2 linked regions of the Anolis sagrei genome follow. The protein of the gene in region 2 purifies or fractionates together with the protein of the main gene of each other region. This does not show direct contact. Links are inferred from orthologs where the notes say so. Each region holds a gene or a part of one and is shown on either strand. Other genes may lie near its edges.

Region 1 (10,280 bases), on a different chromosome or scaffold from region 2:
TTTGTTTGTTTTGTTTTGCATAACTGCAGAGATATAGTCATGCAAAGGTATGCATTTTTCAGCCAGAATCAAGTTACAAGCACACCTTTTTAATATGTGTTTTTAACCTCTTAACCCAATCCCTCCCACCCTTTTAAACTGGTTACTTCTGGGGTTTACAGCATGTGTTGAAGGGCCCAAAGTCTTCAATTTATAAATTTCACTTATAATATAGTCCTGAGAACTTTGGAAGGTGCTTGATCTCCTGCTCAAACACTGGAGAAATGGAGGAAGAACTAGTTTCAGATTCTTCCTTGCAGCTCATGAAGATATTTTTGTTGTCCCTATATTTCTATTGTCAGTGGTCGACACCCACAAAATCCACCCCCGTAAAAAATAGTGATTTTCAGGCTTTCCCCTCCTTTCAAACCACACAGAACCCCATCCCACCCCTCAGACACACACACTCACACATAAATAGCAACATATGGGTAGTACTGCTCCCACATTCTTCCATTACCTCTGCAGTACCTCTCAAAACTGGAAGTTACAAGATATCCCTATTTGCCACCATTTTGAGAGGAACTGCAGGGGGAAAATCAAGGTATTTGAGTTTGCTGTGAAAGGTGAGAAGTGGCTAGGAGGAATTGGCTTCCTGACCAATTAGTAGGAGTCTGCACAGGTTAACTTTTGAGGTATTTAGTACCAGCAGAAATTATTCCTTCAGTGTTACATGGAATTTTTCATATGTTACACCGAACACATATGTGAGGCGAGGGAGGGGGAACTGCCTTTTCTACCCTTTGTGATAGTCAGTAGAAAAAAAATGTGTGCAAGTTGTACTTTCCAAAAGTCCAGAGAATATGAGCCATCTTGCTTAACTTGTCCAAGAGATCAAATTGTGTATTTTTCTTTTTTCATAGAGTCCTAATCCATTGCTTACCTTCAGTGTTAAGACTCATGACAGAATATATTACATGGTAGCCCCAACACCAGAAGCTATGCGGATATGGATGGACGTAATCGTGACCGGAGCAGAAGGCTATACCCACTTCATGTTGTAGAAAACGGTGCAAAAGTCCATTGGCAGGGCATAATGCAATAACAGCCTCAAATCTGGGGATGCAAGCCATATTCTGTCACATTTGATGAGCATCACAAAATAGCAAGAACGCACAGATCTGCCTACCTTTGTCGTCCAAAATGAAACCCATGCTGTGTAAGGCAGAATTAATTCTTAGATATGTTAATCACTGTCATAGCAGAAGAAAAGAAAAGCTGCTTAAAAGATTGTGGTGCTCCAAAATGGATAATCAGATTGCCATAAGCCTGTCCCAGCAGATTCTATGGCATTTCCCTGCAGATTTTATCATGCAGAACTTTCTTAATAAAAAACAAACTTCTTTGTTTGAACCTTGTTGGTATATTTCCAGTATTTCAAAATTAAGAAGAAAAAGGGAAAGTTATGATGGTTAATTTTTTAATGTATGGGATTTCTATACAATTTTAATTTTATAAGTATTTTATAACACATTTTAAACTACAATGTGTGGTGTTTCTGTTTTAATTTACTAGATCACCAAAGATTCATACTATTACAATGAGATTTAGCATCTGCGCAATGAGGGTTTTAAAATCTTTCATACATAGTAATGAAGTTTCAAAAAATATTACCATTCACTTTTTAATTTGCAAATACTGGACACAAGCTATGAGTATGCTTCAGATATGCATGTGAAAGAACTTTCAAAATATTCTTGAAACATTTCAAAAACCTTCTTCCAAGAACAATATCAAATGATTTTTTATTGTCATGCTCATTTTGTAATGATTTCGTTCTATTGGTTAATTTCTTCAAAAGTGAAAACCATCTGCTTTATCCACAGCATTATTCCTTCATTTCTAGCAGATACTAGAATATCTAGATCCCATATAAGACATACATAATAGGGTAGAAATGGGAGAAGGAAATGCCATGAAGTCCCATGGAAGCTCTTCACAAACTCAATACTTCCATGTCAAGACTATGGTTGATTCTACACTGGGTTGTTGTAGGTTTTTCCGGGCTATATGGCCATGTTTTGGAGGCAATTTTTCTCCTGACGTTTCGCCTGCATCTATGGCAAGCATCCTCAGAGGTAGTGAGGTCCTCACTTCAGACAGAGGTGGTCCATAGAATTACCATAAGAGGACCTAGAGAGAAATCTGCACATAATCAAATCTACAATAGTTAAACCTGCAAATATGGAAGGCTGATTGGAATATAAATATATTATTTTCCTACCAGCTAGATAAAGTATATATTACTTTTGATTTCCCTGGTTATCAAATAAATGATGCAAGAGATAGTGTTAGATCACCTACTTTGCATATAAAAGGTCCCAAGTTCAAGCCCGGGCATTATTTAAACAAAGAGATAAAGAAAAGCTTAAATCCTCAAGTCAGAATAGACAGTGCTGGACAGAAATGAATAAGAAAATAAACCTGACAACAGTGGGAAGCAACTTTTCAGATCCAGTGGATCAGTTCCAGTTTGATGGTCTTAAAGTGGCAACCCACCAACAGTCCATAATGGTTGATGTTTTCATGCAATGGATTGCCATACCTCTCTTGTAAAGATTATATATTTCTTAAGAGATTTTTTCCAATTTAAAATGCCTCTGTAGTCTTGGATATTGTATTCAGATGATTGATTGAATTTTGAACTTCAGGTCTGCGTTTGATATCCTCTTTTAATAATTGGATTTTGTGCCATATGTTTTTCTCAATGCAATAAACTAAAAATGTTTCTGTTTCTAAAACGTATAAATATTAAATCACATTTTCTGAAATGGCTGTAATCCTAAAGTATATTCCGTGTGAAGAGAGCTGGATTTTTTTAAATGTCACAGTGTGGCAGTAGCGTAGTTGTAAGAGTTCACAGTCCTAAATGTATTTACTTGAATGTGACTCTAATTAAAAAAAAATACTTGTAAGTGTGATTATGATCTGAATTTAAAAGGTATATTCACTTAAAATCAGTAAACTACTTTATAGTAAATGATTTTAAGATTGCGTAACAAAATTTGAGCCGATTAAAACTTACATCTGATTTGTCATGAATAAAATCTGGCTGAAGATGAAGCGAGGCAGAGACAATGGATTGGATTTATGACCTTGCAAAACTTATGCCCCATTGACTTCAGTGGGTCAATCTGTGACTACATCTGGATCTCACTGATTGTAAAAGAACTAATTTGCTTTAGAGATTTGATTGTAATTGCAGTGTCTGAAAAAAGGCAAAACACAAATGGGTTTGGTTTATATACTTTCTATCATGTATTTTGAATATCTGTACAATTTTACAGGTTTTCTATTTGTTTTGTATCTTGCATGTTGTAATAAAATCTAAACAAATGTTCAATAGTAGCTTTTCAAACAATGTGTCTGATTTCTCACTAACAGATTGTGTTATCATTATACACTTTAATCTGACTTCAAACCAGCCCATGCTTTACAAGTTGCATCTAGCTTGGGCATTGGCAAACTTCGGTCCTCCGGGTTTTTTGAACTTCAACTCCCACAATTCCTAACAGCCTACCAGCTGGGTTGTTGTAGGTACGAAACCTACCAGCTGTTAGGAATTGTGGAAGTTGAAGTCCAAAGCAGGCTGGAGAGATGAAGTTTGCCCATGCCTTATCTATCTCCATTAAAGATGGGGACTGATGACCACTGTGTGCAAGTATTCCAAAATCCATGGGGAGAAAACTCTGAAAATTGAAAACACTTGAGTAGTAAATCCATTTGTTAGATGTATGTGAATCAGGTCCTTTGTTCTCTTGTGATTGTATGTTCAAGTTGCTTATTCATGTTCAAGTTGCTTATTCATTTATGGCATCCCCATCAATTTCATAGGCTAAGAGAATCCTGACTGGTTTTCCATCTCCTTCCTCTAAAACAGGGGTCCTCAAACGTTTTAAACAGAGGGCCAGATCACAGTCTCTCAAACTGTTGGAGGGCCGGATTATAATTTGAAAAAAAATATGAATTCCTATGCACACTGCACATACCTTATTTGTAGTGCAAAAAACACTTTAAAACAATAATTAAAATGAACAATTTTAATAAATATAAGCTTATTAGTATTTCAATGGGAAGTGTGGGCCTGCTTTTGGCTGATGAGATAGGATTGTTGTTGTATGCTTTCAAGTAGTTTCAGACTTAGGTTGACCCTGAGCGAGGGCCGGGTAAATGACCTTGGAGGGCCGTATCCAGCCCCCAGGCCTTAGTTTGAGGACCCCTGCTCTAAAATATCACCTACACCTGGTAGTCACTGGTGGTCTCCTATCTAAGTATTTATCAGAGTTGGCTTTGTTTAGCTTTAAAGATCAGACAGGACCAACCTGAGTCCTAACAGAGAAGAGGGCAGCATAGAAATAAAGTTTTATTATTATATTGAAATAGAACAATTTGGACTGGCCACGGATAGTGCAATATGGGCCACAGATAGCAAAACCCAGAGCGCAGATACCAATTTATGTTAGGCAGATACCGGCAGCGGGTCGCCTGTGGGTCTGTGTGCCTGGTGAGACAAAGAAGCTAGCCCAATGTTCTCCAATCAAGAAATTTCATCAAGTTGAAGAAGCCACCAAGGTGATTTTATTTCGATCCAACTGGAAAGGATGACAGCTTACAGTAAAATGCTAAAGGAAGCTAAGATACCATACAGAGAAAAAACAAGCATTTTATACAATCATAAACTTTGTATTTCCTGCCCCAACTGTGGCCGGTTTGGCATTGATTGGTGGAGCCCTGTTGACGTCACAGCTGGCTGGGGAGGATTCCCTTGGAGAGGTGGGATTGCAGCACCTGTCAGCCAATCTGAAAGCATTCCCCACTTCTGTACTAATCCAAGGAGTGACCATCAGTAAAAAAAAATGATTTTGTCATTTGGGAGTTGTAGTTGCTGGGATTTATAGTTCACCTACAATCAAAGAGCATTCTGAACTCCACCAATGATGGAATTGAACCAAACTTGGCAACAGGATTCCCATGACCAACAGAAAACACTAGAAGGGTTTATTGTAGAAGGCTTTCATGGCTGGAATCACTAGGTTCTTGTGGGTTTTTTTGGGCTATAAGGCCATGTTCTAGAGGCATTTTCTCCTGACGTTTCGCCTGCATCTATGGCAAGCATCCTCAGAGGTAGTGAGGTCTGTTGGAATTAGGACAATGGGTTTATATATCTGTGGAATGCCTGGGGCGGGGGCAAAGAGCTCTTCTCTGCTGGAGCTAGGTGTGAACACAGAAGGCGTTTGGGGGAAATAGACCTTGACATTTAGAAGTTGTAGTTACTGGGATTTATAGTTCACCTACAATCAAAGAGCATTCTGAAAAGGTAGGTACTTTACAAGTCTCATCATCTCTCACAGTAGGCCTGGAGGGCCAATGTTTGCTCATGTTTGCTGTAGCCATTTTTGCCCCAAAGACAATAGTGGGGGGGGGGGGGGTGGCAAAAAAATCAACCCGGAAGCTCCATTCTAAGAGAAGAGGTCGTCGCTCTATGGTTGAATGATTTATGTTCCTCTTCGAGACTTCTCTCCTGTAGAGATAAGAGGTAAAGAGCAATGCCTAGAGCGGACAGTTTCCGGCGCCTGCGCAGTGACAATTTCCTCCTCCTTCCAGCGAACCCGGCGCATGCTCAGTAGCTCACGGAGCGGCCAAGGAAAGGGGTGTGTTGCTGCGGGGCTCTGGCGGATGGCGCTCTCCGGGGCCACGAGGCTGCTGTGGCGGGAGAGGCTGCGCTGGGGGCCGGCCGTCTCTCGGCTGGGTGAGTGACTGAGCGAGTGGGGCGCCTCCCTGTGCCTTTTGCCACAGGTCGAAGACAACTAGTGCCTCTACAGCAGGCCTGGGCAAACTTGGCCCTTCCAGGTGTTTTGGACTTCAACTCCCAGCATTCCTTTCAGGGCCTGAGGCTGTTAGGAATGCTGGGAGTTGAAGTCCAAAATACCAGGAAGGCCCAAGTTAGCTCAGGCCTGCTGTAGAGGCACCTGAAGCCTTCTACTTCTGAACCAACCTTTCCATTGTTCCTTCCCCTTTCCTTTTAGAGGAAGCTAAAACTTGGAATCAGATCCTGGGATATAGGGCCTGTCTGGAAGGGTCCTGAGTGAAGATACAGAATGGGGGAAGCGTGGCTCAAGAGCAGTACGTGTGAAAAAGATCTTGAGGTCCTCGTGGACATCAAGTTGAACATGAGCCAACAATGTGATGCGGCGGCAAAAAAAAGCCAATGGGATTTTGGCCTGCATCAATAGGAGTATAGGGTCTAGATCCCTCTATTCTGCCTTGGTTAGACCGCACCTGGAATATTATATCCAATTCTGGGCACCATCATTGAAGAGAGATATTAACAAGCTGGAATGTGTCCAGAGGGAGGTGACTAAAATGATCAAGGGTCTGGAGAACAAGCCCTATGAGGAGAGGCTTAAAGAGCTGGGCATGTTTAGCCTGAAGACAAGAAGGCTGAGAGGAGACATAATAGCCATGTATAAATATGTGAGTCATAGGGAGGAGGGAGCAAGACTGTTTTCTGCTGCCCTGGAGACTAGGACGCGGAACAATGGCTTCAAACTACAAGAAAGGAGATTTCATCTGAACATTAGGAAGAAATTCCTGACTATGAGAGCCGTTCAGCAGTGGAACTCTCTGTCCCGGAGTGTGGTGGAGGCTCCTTCTTTGGAAGCTTTTAAACAGAGGCTGGATGGCTGTCTGTCGGGGGTGCTTTGAATGCAATTTTCCTGCTTCTTGGCAGGAGGTTGGACTGGATGGCCCATGAGGTCTCTTCCAACTCTATGATTCTATTGAAGCCATATCATTTAATCACCTCCCTAAAATAAATGCTTTCCTCAGAAGCTTTGCTCAACCAGGGGTGAGAAAGGCGATATATAAATACTGTAAATAAATAATTTTCCTCCTTCTTGGCAGGGGGTTGGACTGGATGGCCCACAAGGTCTCTTCCAACTCTATGATTCTATGAAGACATTGCAGGACTTCCTAATGGCAGCAGTCACACTTGTTTCAAACAGTCAAGGGTTCCTTCTCCCACCCTGGACATCTCACACACACTTATATACACACACATCCCCATCAACTCCACTGGACTGGCCATGTTGTCCAAATGCCTGATCACTGCTTCCCAAAGCAGTTGCTATACTCCCAACTCAAGAATGTTGGTGGACAGGAAAGGATATTTAAAAATGGGCTTAAAGCCAACCTCAAAACCTGTGGCATAGACACAGAGAACTGGGAAGCCCTGGTCCTTGAGTGCTCTAATTGGAGGTCAGCTGTAACCAGCAGTGCTGCAGAATTCAAAGAGGCACGAATGGAGGAACTGATGTCCTCACTGTGGGAAAATAAGAGAGATTAGTTCCTGCACTACAAAGAAGAGAAGTTTGATATGCTCTAGCAATGTTTTTATTTAAAATTAGCAGTATGCATTTACGATATGAAACAACCAGGTATTTTAAGCCCTGTGTAAGTAAACAAAAACACTTTGAACCTTCTGAAGAATGATAAAATCATAGAGTTGGAAGAGACCTCATGGGCCATCCAGTTCAATTCCCTGCAAAGAAGCAGAAAACTCGCATTCAGAGCAGCCCCAACAGATGGCCATCCAGCCTCTATTTAAAAGCCTCCAAAGGGGCCTCTACCACACTCTGGGGCAGAAAGTTCCACTGTTGAACAACTCTCACAGTTAGGAAATTTTTCCTCATGCTCAGGTGGAATCGCCTTTCCTGTAATTTGAAGCCCTTGTTCTGCATCCTAATCTCCAGGACAGCAGAAAACAAGTTTGCTCCCTCCTCCCTCACGTATTTATGCATGTCTGCCAAGTTTCCTCGGCAGGCTAAACATGCCCAGCTTTTTAAGCCTCTCCTCATAGGACTTGTTCTCCAGACCCTTTGATCATTTTAGTCACCTCCCTCTGGACACATTCCAGCTTGTCAGCATCTCCCTTCAATTGCAGTGCCCAGAACTGGACACAGTATTCTAGGTGTGGTCTGACCAAGGCAGAATAGAGGGGAAGCATGACTTCCCTGGATATAAACAGTATAGTCTTATTGATGCAGGCCAAAATCCCATTGGCTTTTTTTGCCGCTGCATGACACTTGAAAGTTTCTTCCAGAATGTAGCCAACGATGATTTATTTTCTTTCTCTACTTTTCAGTTTTACCATTTTTGTTGATGTCGTTTAACATACTTAGTGATGCAGATATATTCACTTTCCATTGCTTTGCTGTTTGTGCATGCTCAGTAAGAGATTCTGGAGGCAGCTGCTCTGTTTTAGGCAGATACATTCAACAACAATTGGATCAACTAGAGTGGAATCCCATTCTTTACCAGCTCCAGCTTTACTGCATTAACTGCTGACATGACTGCAACCCAGCAGTGACAGCCCGTGTTGGTCCAGCCCTTTCCCCTCATCTTCCTATTCTTGTTGCTGGAGAATGGGGAGGAAAACTAACATATTTGTTAACTTCGGTAGACCTGTAATTTGTTTCAACAATATCCGCAGTAAAAATGTAAAAGTTCAATTTTTTTTGTGTGCGTAGGTTGCAGGCAAAAATCATCTCCCAGTTTCCTTAACCGGACAGATCTTCCAAAACTCGCCTATCATAAACTAAAAGGAAAGAATCCTGGAGTTGTCTTCCTCCCAGGCCTTTTTTCAAACATGAATGGTGAAAAAGCACTTGCACTGGAAGACTACTGTAAATCAGTTGGCCATGCTTTTGTCAGGTATGTTATAACAGAACAGACTTGTGCTTAGTGTGACACATATATTTCATTCCATTATTTTAAATGTTCTGTTCATGTTGTCAGTGAATTATGTTTATTTTTATTGACATGTTTATTGCATTTACATCCCATCTCTCTCCTTATTCAGAACCTAAAATGATCTTCTTTTTTTTGTAAAAAAAAGAAAAACAAAAATAAAAAACAAGATACAGTAGAGTCTCGCTTATCCAACCTTCACTCATCCAACATACTGTATTATCCAACACAATCTGCCTCCTGCCTGGATCCACAGCTGTTTAAATACATTGCAATGTTTCGGTGCTCAGTTCGTAAATACAGTAATGACTACATCACATTATCGTATATTGAACTGCTTTTTCTATCAATTTGTTTTAAAACATGATGTTTTGGTGCTTAATTTGTAAAATCATAATGTAATTTGACGTTTAATAGGCTTTTCTTTAATACCTCCTTATTATCCAACATTTTCACTTATCTAACATTCTACTGGCCCATTTATGTTGAATAAGCAAGACTCTACAACTAAAATATTATGTTCGCAAAAGTTTTACAAAAATTAACTAACTGCAATTAAAAACATGATTAAAACAATATCAAAGTATTATTATTTGCTGTTAAAACTATCTTGCTGCAGGCATCTTCCCAAGCAGTTTGTATATGGTAATCTTGGTCATTGCTGATTATACAAAGCTATGTTTTCATTTTTATTCCTCCACAGGTTTGATTACAGAGGTTGCGGAGGTTCAGATGGCAGTACTAAAGAAAGTACATTGGGAAAGTGGCGGAAGGATGTTCTGTCCATACTGGATGAACTCACACAAGGGCCACAGGTTGATTGTTCTTGATTTTTAAATGAAGCAGTTCTTCTCTTATGTTGCACTGTGCTTCTTTTTGTGAATAAAATTGTGGGACATTTCACTATTGCTAGCCTGGAGGAAGCAAACATACCCCTGACTTACGAAATCCTTTGGCAGGAAATTATTTTGTCTGGTTAATAAAGTTTAGCGTTTAGTTGTTGATATTCATCAGACTGTTCTGAAAAACTGTCTTTTAAAGAAAACTTCTTGGAAAATAGAATTGGGCATGGCTGGAAAGTGTAGATCTCCCAAATAACAATGTAAAGAAGTATATACTGGCATTGAATGCGGTAAAACATGCACAAGCCCTAAAATATTGGGGAAATTGTATATATTACACTTAGAGGTGAGAGTTACGAAACATTGACTGGTTTGGACTATGGTATCTCAATTTAAAAAGTGGAGAGGGATGAGTGAGCCTCATGTAACTGTGGCATGTAACTGCTTTTCATTTCAAACAAATAGCCTTCAGCCTAGGAAGCCTTCAATTAACCTATTTTTCATGGCATTGGATCTATGAAAGTTTTGGACAATCTGGCATTTTAAGCCATGAGGATTGTTCATATCATTTGCCATATTCCATATAATCCATTTTAAATCCAGGAAAAGTATTTTGAACAACAGGAAATGAGAAGTCACTCACCTGGCTCA
Region 2 (10,249 bases):
AATTGTAAAGACAAATACATGTGTCTTAGAGTAAATCAACACTGAACTCTCCCTAGAAGCCAAAATGACCAAACTGAGGCTATTATACTTTGGCCATATTATGAAATGACGCAACTTTGTGAGTTGCAATAGGAAAAGAGGAATATTGCTTTACAGCTGGATAGGCTAATTCAAGGAAACCACAGCTCTGAGTTTATTGAACTAAGAAGGGCCATTGATGGCAAGGTATCTTGAAAATCTCTTATTCATATTGTTGTCATAAGTTGAAGCTAATTTGATGTCGTATAAGAACAAATCCTAAAATCAAGAGAAAACAAGAAATGCAATTCAAAGTAAGTAGATTTACCTACCAGTAATATGCAGATTTCATCTGGTATGTGTGTGTGTGAAATCAAGTGGAATCTTTAAGACTAGGCAATTTATTTTTGTATAAGCATTTGTGGTTTTCAAAAGCTAGTACAATGTTTTGTAACTAATTGTCAGTGAGAGTACATGGGTCTTCCCTTATAAGGCCTTCAGTCCATGGAGAGATCACCTGGTAGTATAACATCTGCATTCTAGAGTATTTTTCAGCAATCCAGTTTATCTGGAGAGAGGATGCAAGGGACTTTCTCCTAATGGAGATATGGCACAAGTAGAACTCTGTACTTGGAATGGAAGGAAATCCAGAAGACAAGCCTCTAACAATTTTATTCACTCTCTGTAAAACAACAGCAATTTAAACATTCATTTCCAGAAATTTATGTAAACTATAGCAGTAGTACTGATCAATTATCAGTGTTCTGTTTCAAATGCTGAAAGAACATCTTTGCCAACATCGAATTAAAATGTACTTGTTCAATCTGTGTTCTATGTGGTCAAATGTGTTACTCTGCTAAGTGATGTTATTATATATTTATCGTGTCAGCAAATTGAGAATTCTGTATCAGAAGCAGAAAAGACAGTTTGGAAATGTTTTCCAAGTTTCTGGGTCACTAAGGGATCCAGGATCTTCTCTTGGAACACACTAAGAAACTGAGAAACTTGCTTCTTCATGTAACCTTTTCCTTTATATTTATTCCTTCCTCGGAGAGTCTAGCAAAAGTAGGCATTGCTTCCTTTGTATAAAAAAATGTATTAAAAAACCACAAAGTTAAAAACTTGGCATTGTGCTAAATTTCCTTTGACCAGAAGCTGGCTGCTTCAAGTGTCTCTGGTGTCGCTGTAAGAAGGTCCTCCATTGTGCATGTGACAGGGTTCAGACTGCATTGTAGTAAGTGGTTTGTGGTTTGCTCTACACACTCACATGTCATGGACTCCACTTTGTAGCCCCATTTCTTAAGATTGGCCCTGCATCTCATGGTGCCAGGGGGCAGTCTGTTCAGTGCCTTCCAAGTCGCCCAATCTTCTTTGTGCCCAGGAGGGAGTTTCTCATCCAGTATCAGCCACTGATTGAGGTTTCGGGTTTTAACCTTCCACTTTTGGACTCTCGCTTGCTGAGATGTTCCCGCAAGTATCTCTGTAGATCTTAGGAAGCTGTTTCTTGATTTAAGACATTAGCGTGCTGACTTATATCCATACAGAGGCTGGGCCGGAGATGTCAATGCCTTGGTCCTTTCATTACTGGCTGCTACTTCCAGACAGATGTTGGTGGATGCATAAATGAAATATGGTAATATAAAACAAAACTAGAAATTGCCGTGGAAAAATAAGATTAATAATTATGGCATTGAGAATATTTTGTCCATGCTATTATACACATGTATTTTCTCTGTAGTTTTATCACTTCAGGGAAGTTCGAACTAAGGATTTCTCATATCATGTCTCTGCTCTAATGCTACTTATATTCACCCCGTTTCTCAATCTAGTGCTCTTCAAATGTGTTGAATTACAGCATCCATCATTATGTGCTGAAGAAATGTTTTATCCTGTCACCTTTGTATAAGATGGACGGGCAATTTGTGCCTGGCATTATTTCTATACGAACTACATTTCTCAGCATACATTCCAGGTATCCTCATTAAATCTAATGGGCACTGCAGTCCAGATCTGGAGAGACAAAAGTTGCCCATTCCTGCTTTATAACAAGGATCTTGGGGGACAGGCAGACAACCTGTTTATGTGGGCTGCATCCACTCCTCTAAGATATCCCTCCAGAAAGTTATTTTGCCACAGATTTATGCCCAGATCTTTTGTGGTGATGCTGCTGGCTATTATGGGGGAAAATCTGGACCCAGAGCCTCAGATTAGTGCCTTTGGGCATACGCAAAATAATTAGAATATATGTGTCTTGTTCTTCCCAATAAGTCGGCACTTTAATCTTTAGCTCATTCAATAAAGTCTTAATTGATTACAAATAATAAAAAAATGGAAAAACAAATTTCTCAATGGAGCCCCTTCCCACTTTATTCTTATCTCTTGTCTGAGAATGACAACTAGCTCGATTGCTGGTTGAGATTGTGTCAGGAACAAAGAAGTGCACAGCATCTTCTGTGGCTGCAATTTTCCCTACCTGGATAACTTTATACATAATGTCCCTCTTTTTAACTGTTGTCCAATAAACGTATACTAATCATTACAATGTTTGGAAATGAACAAGAGATTCTGGGCCACATATACGTGTAGTCTAGAGAAGAATATCCAAGAATGAGGCGTCTGGTTTGTTAGCTCAGATGAACCCACTGGGACTTGAATATAACTTTGGGGAGTCCTTCCCTCCTGAGGATACAGATATTTCTAGTTTAGCTCTCAGTCATAAGATAAGATTTTGTGAGTTTAAACACATTATCCTATTCCCAGTGTGGGAGATTCTGGTAAGAGAATTCGAGGACAGAAATGCCTGTGGTTTTGTGGGTGGGAGTGGGGGGAGCAGAAACAATTTCAGAATAATATGAGTTTGAGAGGGAAAGCACACAGCCCTACATCCCAGGATATCAAGGCAGGAAATCTCATATTATCTGAGTGTGGACTCAGATAACCCAGTTCAAAGCAGGTATCGTGGGATACTCTGCCTTGATATTCTGGGATATGGGACTATGTGGAAGGGCCCCCAGAAGCCCAAGCCTTTCTGCATCTTGACTTGAAAATCATAATCCCCACTGCCTTCCTCATACTTCTGTGCTATTCTCACTATTGTATAATTGGGATGTGTGAGGCCAAAACTATCGCCTGGAGAATTCAAAGACTTAGCCATCTAAATCTGGAATATCAGTACACAAAGTGATCTTTGAGTTGAGGCGGAGACAAAGAATTTGGCAAAATAAGGTTTTATGAAGAATTGCGTACTTGCATCAAAAATTGAGGTCCCATCTACACTGCCATATGATCCAGTTTCTTGATGCAGATGGTCTGCTTTAAACAGGACCATATGGCAGTGTAAACTTATATAATCCACTTTACAGCAGATAATCTGCACTCAGAAACCGCGGCCCCTTCTACACAGCTGTATAAAATCCACATTGAACTGGAATAAATGGCAGTGTGGACAGATAACCTAGTTCAAAGCAGATATTGTGGATTATCTGCCTTGATCTTCTGGTTTATATGGCGGTGTGGAAGGGCCCTGGATAATATGGCCTAAGCCAGAATCCACAAGACAGAATGATAGCAATTTGATACATTAGCCATCAATGGATTCTGGGATGTGTTGTGTGAGGCACTGAACACTTCTCTATCAGAGGGCCCCTGGTGCCACCAAAACCACAAACCCGATTATCCGATAGAACGGAGCTGTGGCAGTTAGTTGAAAAGTGGCGCCTTCCACCCTGCAGTGTGAATGATCAACTACTTCTTCAGGCTCCTTCTACACAACTGTATAAAATCCACATTAAACTGGATTGTATGGCAGCGTGGATTAGCTGCCTTGATCTTTTGTCTTAAATGGCTGTGTGCAACGGCCCTCAGATAACTCAGTTCAAAATAGATACTGTGGGTTATTCTGTCTTGATATTCTGGGTTATGTGGTATGCGGAAGGGCTCCGGATGATATGGCCTAAGGTGGTATTCACAAGATAGAATGATAGCAGTTCGATATATTAGCTGCCAATGAATTCTGGGATGTGTAGTTGTGTGGGGAACTGAACACTTCTCTATCAGAGAGCCTCTGGTGTCACTACAAACCCGGAGGACAGAGCTGAGGGCCCTTCCACACAGCTGCATAAAATCTCGCATTATCTGCTTTGAACTGGGATATGTGGCAGTGTGGACTCAGATAACCCAGTTCAAAGCAAATATTGTGGGGTTATCTACCTTGATATTCTAGGGCAAACTAAGGCCTGGGGGCCAAATATGGCCCTCCAAGGTCATTTACCCGGCCCTCGCTCAGGGTCAACCTAAGTCTGAAACGACTTGAAAGCACACATTAACAATTCTATCGCATTAGCGAAAAGCAGGCCCACACTTCCCATTGAAATACTAATAAGTTTGTATTTGTTAAAATTGTTCTTCATTATTATTATTGTATTAGTTTTAAGTGTTTTTTTTTTCACTACAGAGAAGATATGTGCAGTGTGCATAGGAATTCATTCATGTTTTTTTGTTTGTTTTTTTCAAATTATAATCCGGACCACCAACAGTTTGAGGGATTGTGACCTGGCCCTCTGTTTTAAAAGTGTGAAGACCCTTGCTTTAGGGTTATATGGCTGTGTGGATGGGCCATGGGATAAACAAAAAACCTGGGATTAGATCCCTGGGATATAGCCTTTGAAGACTGCTTGGAAGCTTCAAATAGTCCAACGAGAGGCTGCCAGTTTAATAACTGGGGCGGCATACAGAGAGCATACAACTCCCATGTTACGCCAGCTCCACTGGCTATCAGTTTGCTACCGGGCACAATTCAAAATGCTGGCTTTGGCCTATAAAGCCCTCAACGGCCGCAGCCCAAATTACCTGTCCAAATGCATCTCCCCCTATAAACTATCAGAGATTAAGATCCTCCGGGGAGGCTTTCTGTCCCGCCATTGTCACAGGCACAATTGGTGGGGACGAGACAGGGCCTTCTTGGTGATTGCTCCCCAGCTATGGAAGTCCCTTCCTGGTGAGATCAGGTCGGCCCCCTCCCTCCTGTCCTTTAGAAGGATGGTAAAAACTTGTCTGTGGGACCAAACTTCTGGGACAGGGCAATGAAGCGGCTGTGGGAAAGATGACAGGGCCAATTGGATTTGATGCGGATGGCTAGGACGGTTTTAAATGGTATTTTAATATTTTGATCAATTTTTTTTAATGTTTATGTATTGTATGTGCATCTGTGTCCCGGCATTGAATGTTTGCCATGTATATGCTGTGAGTCCCCTTCGGGGTGAGAAGGGCGGAATATAAATGTTTTAAATAATAAATAAATAAATAAATAAATATAAGACCTGCCATGAAAGGCCCTTCCACACAGCAGTATAACTTAGGGCCCTTCCACACAGCCATATAAAACAGAATGATCAAGGCAGGAAATCCCACAATATCTGCTTCGAACTGGAATACATGGCAGTGTGAACTCAGGGCCCTTTTACACAGCTCTCTCTTTCTCTCTAGATATATATATATGGATAGATTTCAAAACGGTCGCGAGGCAGGCCATTGAGGCGCGCGCCGTGCTGAGGGAGCAGAGGAGGAGGAGGAGGAGGCGGGAAAGCATTAGGAGAGAGAGGAAGCGCGAGGCAGAGCGCGAGCCCCCTTCCCTTCTCCTCCTCCCCCCTCCCTTCCCCTTTGAGCGATTTCCTCTTCCTCTGGGCAGGGAGAGAGAGAGAGAAGGAGAGGAAGCTGGGAAAGAGGAGGAGGAAGGGGAGTAGGCCTTGGCGGCGCTGCTGCTGTTCCTCCTGTGAGGGAGGGGAAGTCAGGGACGAAAGCGGCCGCCGTTGTCGTCGTCGTCGAGGAGAGGCGGCGCTTAGAGGAGCTGCTGCTGCTGCTGCTGCCGGCGGAGTCACCGTGGGAGGAAGGGCCTTAAGGAGGGGACCCACCGCCGCCTCAGCCGCCTCCTCCTCCTCCTCCTCCCTTGGCTTCTCCCCCCCCCTCGCCTCTCGCGCGCCCCTCAGGAGGGGGCCCCGGCCAGGCCAGGCCAGGACGGAGGAGGAGGAGCAGCAGCGGCAGCGGGAGGAGGAGGAGGAGGCGGCCAAGGCCCAGGCCGGGGAGGGCGGGAGGGAGGAGGCGGGGACGGGGGGGGAACTGGAGCCCGCGACGGGCCTGGTCTGGGCCGGGCCGGGCCGCTGCCTCTGCTACTACCACCGCCGCCTCCTCTTCGTGAACTAGGATGTCCCGACATGAAGGTGAGTGGCTGAGGGAAAGGAGGGAGGGGGGCATCATGGCGGCTCCCTGCGCGGTTTCGAAGCCCGGAAGGCGGGCCAGGCCTGCTTTGCCTCGTCATGGGCCAGGCCTGGGTGTCCGTTACGGCTCCCCTCCGCCGAGAGCCAGGCCTCGGCCGCCCTACTGGGCCTAGGCCCCGCCCTGCGGTTGGGTTGTGCGCTCGGCCTGGCTCTCCCTTGGCCCTTCTGGGTTGCCGTGGCAGAGGAGGAGAGCCGGGCCTAGCCGGAAGAGCCGTGGATTTATTCTAATTTCCCACGAAGCGGGTTGTAGAGGGACGTGGCCCCGCACGTGGAACGTAATTTCGGTGGGGCGCCCAGAGGAAAAGTTTGGCCAGGCCGATTGGAAGTGTGGCCCCTTCCACACAGCTGAATAAAGCCCCACACTCTCTGCTTTGAACTGGAGTGTATGGCAGCGTGGACTCAGGGCCCTTGCACATAGTCCTATATCCCAGAATATCAAGGCAGAAAATCCCACAGTATATGCTTTGAACTGGAGTATATGGCAGCGTGGACCCCGGGCCCTTCCACATAGCCCTATATCCCAGAATATCAAGGCAGAAAATTCCACACTATCTTCTTTGAACTAAATATATGGCAGCGTGGACCCAGGGCCCTTCCACACAGCCCTATATCCCAGAATATCAAGGCAGAAAATCTCACAGTATATGCTTTGAACTGGGTTATCTGAGTCCAGGTTGCCATATATTCCAGAAAATCCCACACTATCTGCTTTGAACTGGAATATATGGCATCATGGACCCAGGGCCCTTCCACACAGCCCTATATCCTAGAATATCAAGGCAGAAAATCTCACAGTATATGCTTTGAACTGGGTTATCTGAATCCAGGTTGCCATATATTCCAGAAAATCCCACACTATCTGCTTTGAACTGGAATATATGGCAGCGTGACACAGGGCCCTTCCACATAGCCCTATATCCTAGAATATCAAGGCAGAAAACCCCACACTATCTGCTTTGAACTGGAATATATGGCAGCATGGACTCAGGGCCCTTCCAAATAGCCCTATATCCCAGAATATCAAGGCAGAAAATCCCACAGTATATGCTTTAACTGGGTTATCTGAGTCCACGTTGCCATATATTCCAGAAAATCCCACACTATCTGCTTTGAACTGGAGTATATGGCAGCGTGGACCCAGGGCCCTTCCACATAGCCCTATATCCCAGAATATCAAGACAGAAAATCCCACACTATCTTCTTTGAACTGGAATATATGGCAGCATGGGCCCAGGGCCCTTCCACATAGCCCTATATCCTAGAATATCAAGGCAGAAAACCCCACACTATCTGCTTTGAACTGGAATATATGGCAGCGTGGACTCAGGGCCCTTCCACATAACCCTATATCCCAGAATATCAAGGCAGAACATCCCACAGTATCTGCTTTGAACTGGGTTATCGAGTTCATGTTGCCATATATTCCAGAAAATCCCACAATATCTGTTTTGAACTGGGTTATCTGAGTCCACACTGCCATATATTCCAGTTCAAAGCAGATAATGTGGGATTTTCTGCCTTGATATTCCGGGTTATATGGCTATGTGGAAGGGACCTGTGTTTGTTTACTTGAGCGGGAGATGTAATGGGGAGGCAACATGGGGTGCACACACGTCTAGATGGGCTCTCTTGTCATTGTGCTGTTGGAAAAGGAGAGCAAGTCCCCTTCCACACCACTGAATAAGATCCCACAATATCTGTTTTGAACTGGGTTATCTGAGTCCACACTGACATATATCCAGTTCAAAGCAGATAATGTGGGATTATATTCAAATGTGTGGAAGGGGGCTTTGATATATAGCACTGTGGACTCGGGGGCCCTTCCATACTGCCATATAACCCAGAGTATCTGCTTTGAACTGGGATATATGGCAGTGTGGACTCGGGGTCCTTCCACACAGCCAGATAACTCAGTGTATCAAGTCAGAAAATCCCACAATATCTGCTTTGAACTGAGTTATCTGAGTCTACACTGGCATATATTCCAGTTCAAAGCAGAAATGTGGGGTTTTATTCAGCTGTGTGGAAGGGGCCTCAGATAACCTGGTTCAAGGCAGATATTGTGGGTTATTCTGTCTTAATATTATGGATTATATGGCATGTGGAAGGGCTTCAAGATGCATGTTGACCATAGCTCTGGGTGGGGTTGAGGTACGCTCCCGGGCGAGGCTGGGTTGGCAGCAGTGCAGGCCAGAGGACTTCGAAGTGTGGACGTGTTGGTGTGACAGGGCGAAGAAGGTGTGTCAGGATTTGTGTTGGGAGTTGAGGGTGCTTATAGCAGGAAGTGAGCTTCAAAGAGGAAGTTTAGGGTTGGGAAGAGATTCTGCATATGTTCAGCTGTTTATATTAGGAACGAAAAAGTTGTGTAAAATATCATTTAAGCTTGAGAAGGATCATAATGCAGAATAGGATCTAATAGTTGATATACTGTATTTCTTTGATTCTAACAACCTCTACACACCAAAGCAAGGATCCACTTTAAATCCAGTGTCTGTCTCCTGCCTGGCTGAGGAGTTTGAAGCCCCCCCCCCCCCTGAACTACAAGCCCCAGAATTCTGCAGGAGGCAGAAACTGGATTTAAAGTGTATCCATGCTCTAGTGTGATGAGGTCCTAAGATGCACTTCCCCCACATATAAATATTTCTAAACACAAGGTGCATCCTAGAAATGCAGATTCATTTGTGTGTGTGTGTGTGTGTCTGTCTATCTATCTATCTATCTACAACTCAGGGATTCTCTCTCTGTGTGTATAGGCAGTCCAACTTACATCTGACACATAGTTAAGAACAGAGGTGAGACAACAGGAAGTGAAAGGAATCGACCCCTAGGAAGGGAAACTTACTCCTGAAAGAGTTACCATGGGTACAAGTGTCTCCACTGAATCTTTAGCACCAGCCCTTGTTTCCACAACAGGCCAAACCTTTCAAAATCCAATGATCACAGGGACAGAAAGTGAGTTGAAATCATCTGAACAGAAAGCAAAACAAACATCATAGTGGTGTTAACCTTTCCCTATGTTTCCTAAAACTAACAAAAACAATACTTTAAAAAAAGAATCTTTCTATCTTGTTCATTTCATAGGGACTGCCTGTATGTGTGTGTATATATTCTGTTGATGGTATTGACAGTGTGTGCTTTACATTCAGTGGTGTTTTAGCACTGAAGAAATAGTTATTCACTGATTTGTATTGTGTGCTATGATCTTAGTACATTTCCATGTGTATTTACTACAAGTGAGGCTTGAAGTTAAATTTTCAGCAAGTTAAAATATATTTTAGTCTTATCGATATGGCTGAGTAAACATTTTACCATAGACATTGTTTTACATGCTCTTTCCAGAAGGTGCTTTTTGACATGCAGGTGTACAAGGTTGATACTTTAGAATTTTTATCTTTTCCTAGATATGTAATGCTCACTATCTTTTGCCTCTCACAGTTTGCAGTGTGACAAAAGGCAGCGTAGAAGATAGTTCATTTTTCCCTGTATATAGTGTGTATTGCTGACACTGAATTAAATGTTCAGAAAACAAAATGAGAGGAATTGAAGGGTTGAATACAGTATGCATGATAGTAAGAAATATTGAAATCATGTGTGACTTATGAATCATTTGATCATTTGGGGTATGATATATGATAGTTTAGTAAAAGAGGTATCTCATAATCTTTTTAACATGATTTCATCAAATTCTGTGGTGGATGAAGTAAAGATTATTGTCTGAAGGACGGGAAATATTGTTGAAGTACTCATTCATAATGATGACACAAGAATGAAAGGTCAAGGAAAGAAGTGGGGAAGTTGTATTCCTCTATGATTTTCCAATATAGTCAGGCCTAACGTATTGACTGAGGTTGATAAGGGTAGTGAGTTCTCAAACTGTATTAAATGGTTAGTTCAGATGGAGCCTTGTACATAAAACTTTTGGGTTCTCCTACACCTGGACTGGGGAACTTGTGGCCTTC

Evidence for each region.
Region 1: the proteins of KCMF1 (region 2) and ABHD10 purify together in Homo sapiens (affinity purification with mass spectrometry; 3 studies listed by BioGRID and IntAct, counting the BioPlex papers as one, with this or other methods). This does not show direct contact. The link is inferred for Anolis sagrei from reciprocal best matches to the Homo sapiens genes KCMF1 and ABHD10.

Annotation. Positions count from the first base shown.
Region 1 is NC_090023.1:48,250,448-48,260,727, forward strand, and holds the start of ABHD10 (palmitoyl-protein thioesterase ABHD10, mitochondrial), read left to right. Parts: upstream 1-5,643; 5' UTR 5,644-5,655; coding exon 5,656-5,788; intron 5,789-8,567; coding exon 8,568-8,751; intron 8,752-9,490; coding exon 9,491-9,602; intron 9,603-10,280. Other genes in the region: PHLDB2 (pleckstrin homology-like domain family B member 2), read left to right, coding at 903-1,043. UniProt on the Homo sapiens protein: Acts as an acyl-protein thioesterase that hydrolyzes fatty acids from acylated residues in proteins.
Region 2 is NC_090022.1:156,906,230-156,916,478, reverse strand, and holds the start of KCMF1 (E3 ubiquitin-protein ligase KCMF1), read left to right. Parts: upstream 1-5,702; 5' UTR 5,703-6,217; coding exon 6,218-6,233; intron 6,234-10,249. UniProt on the Homo sapiens protein: E3 ubiquitin-protein ligase which accepts ubiquitin from an E2 ubiquitin-conjugating enzyme and then transfers it to targeted substrates, promoting their degradation by the proteasome.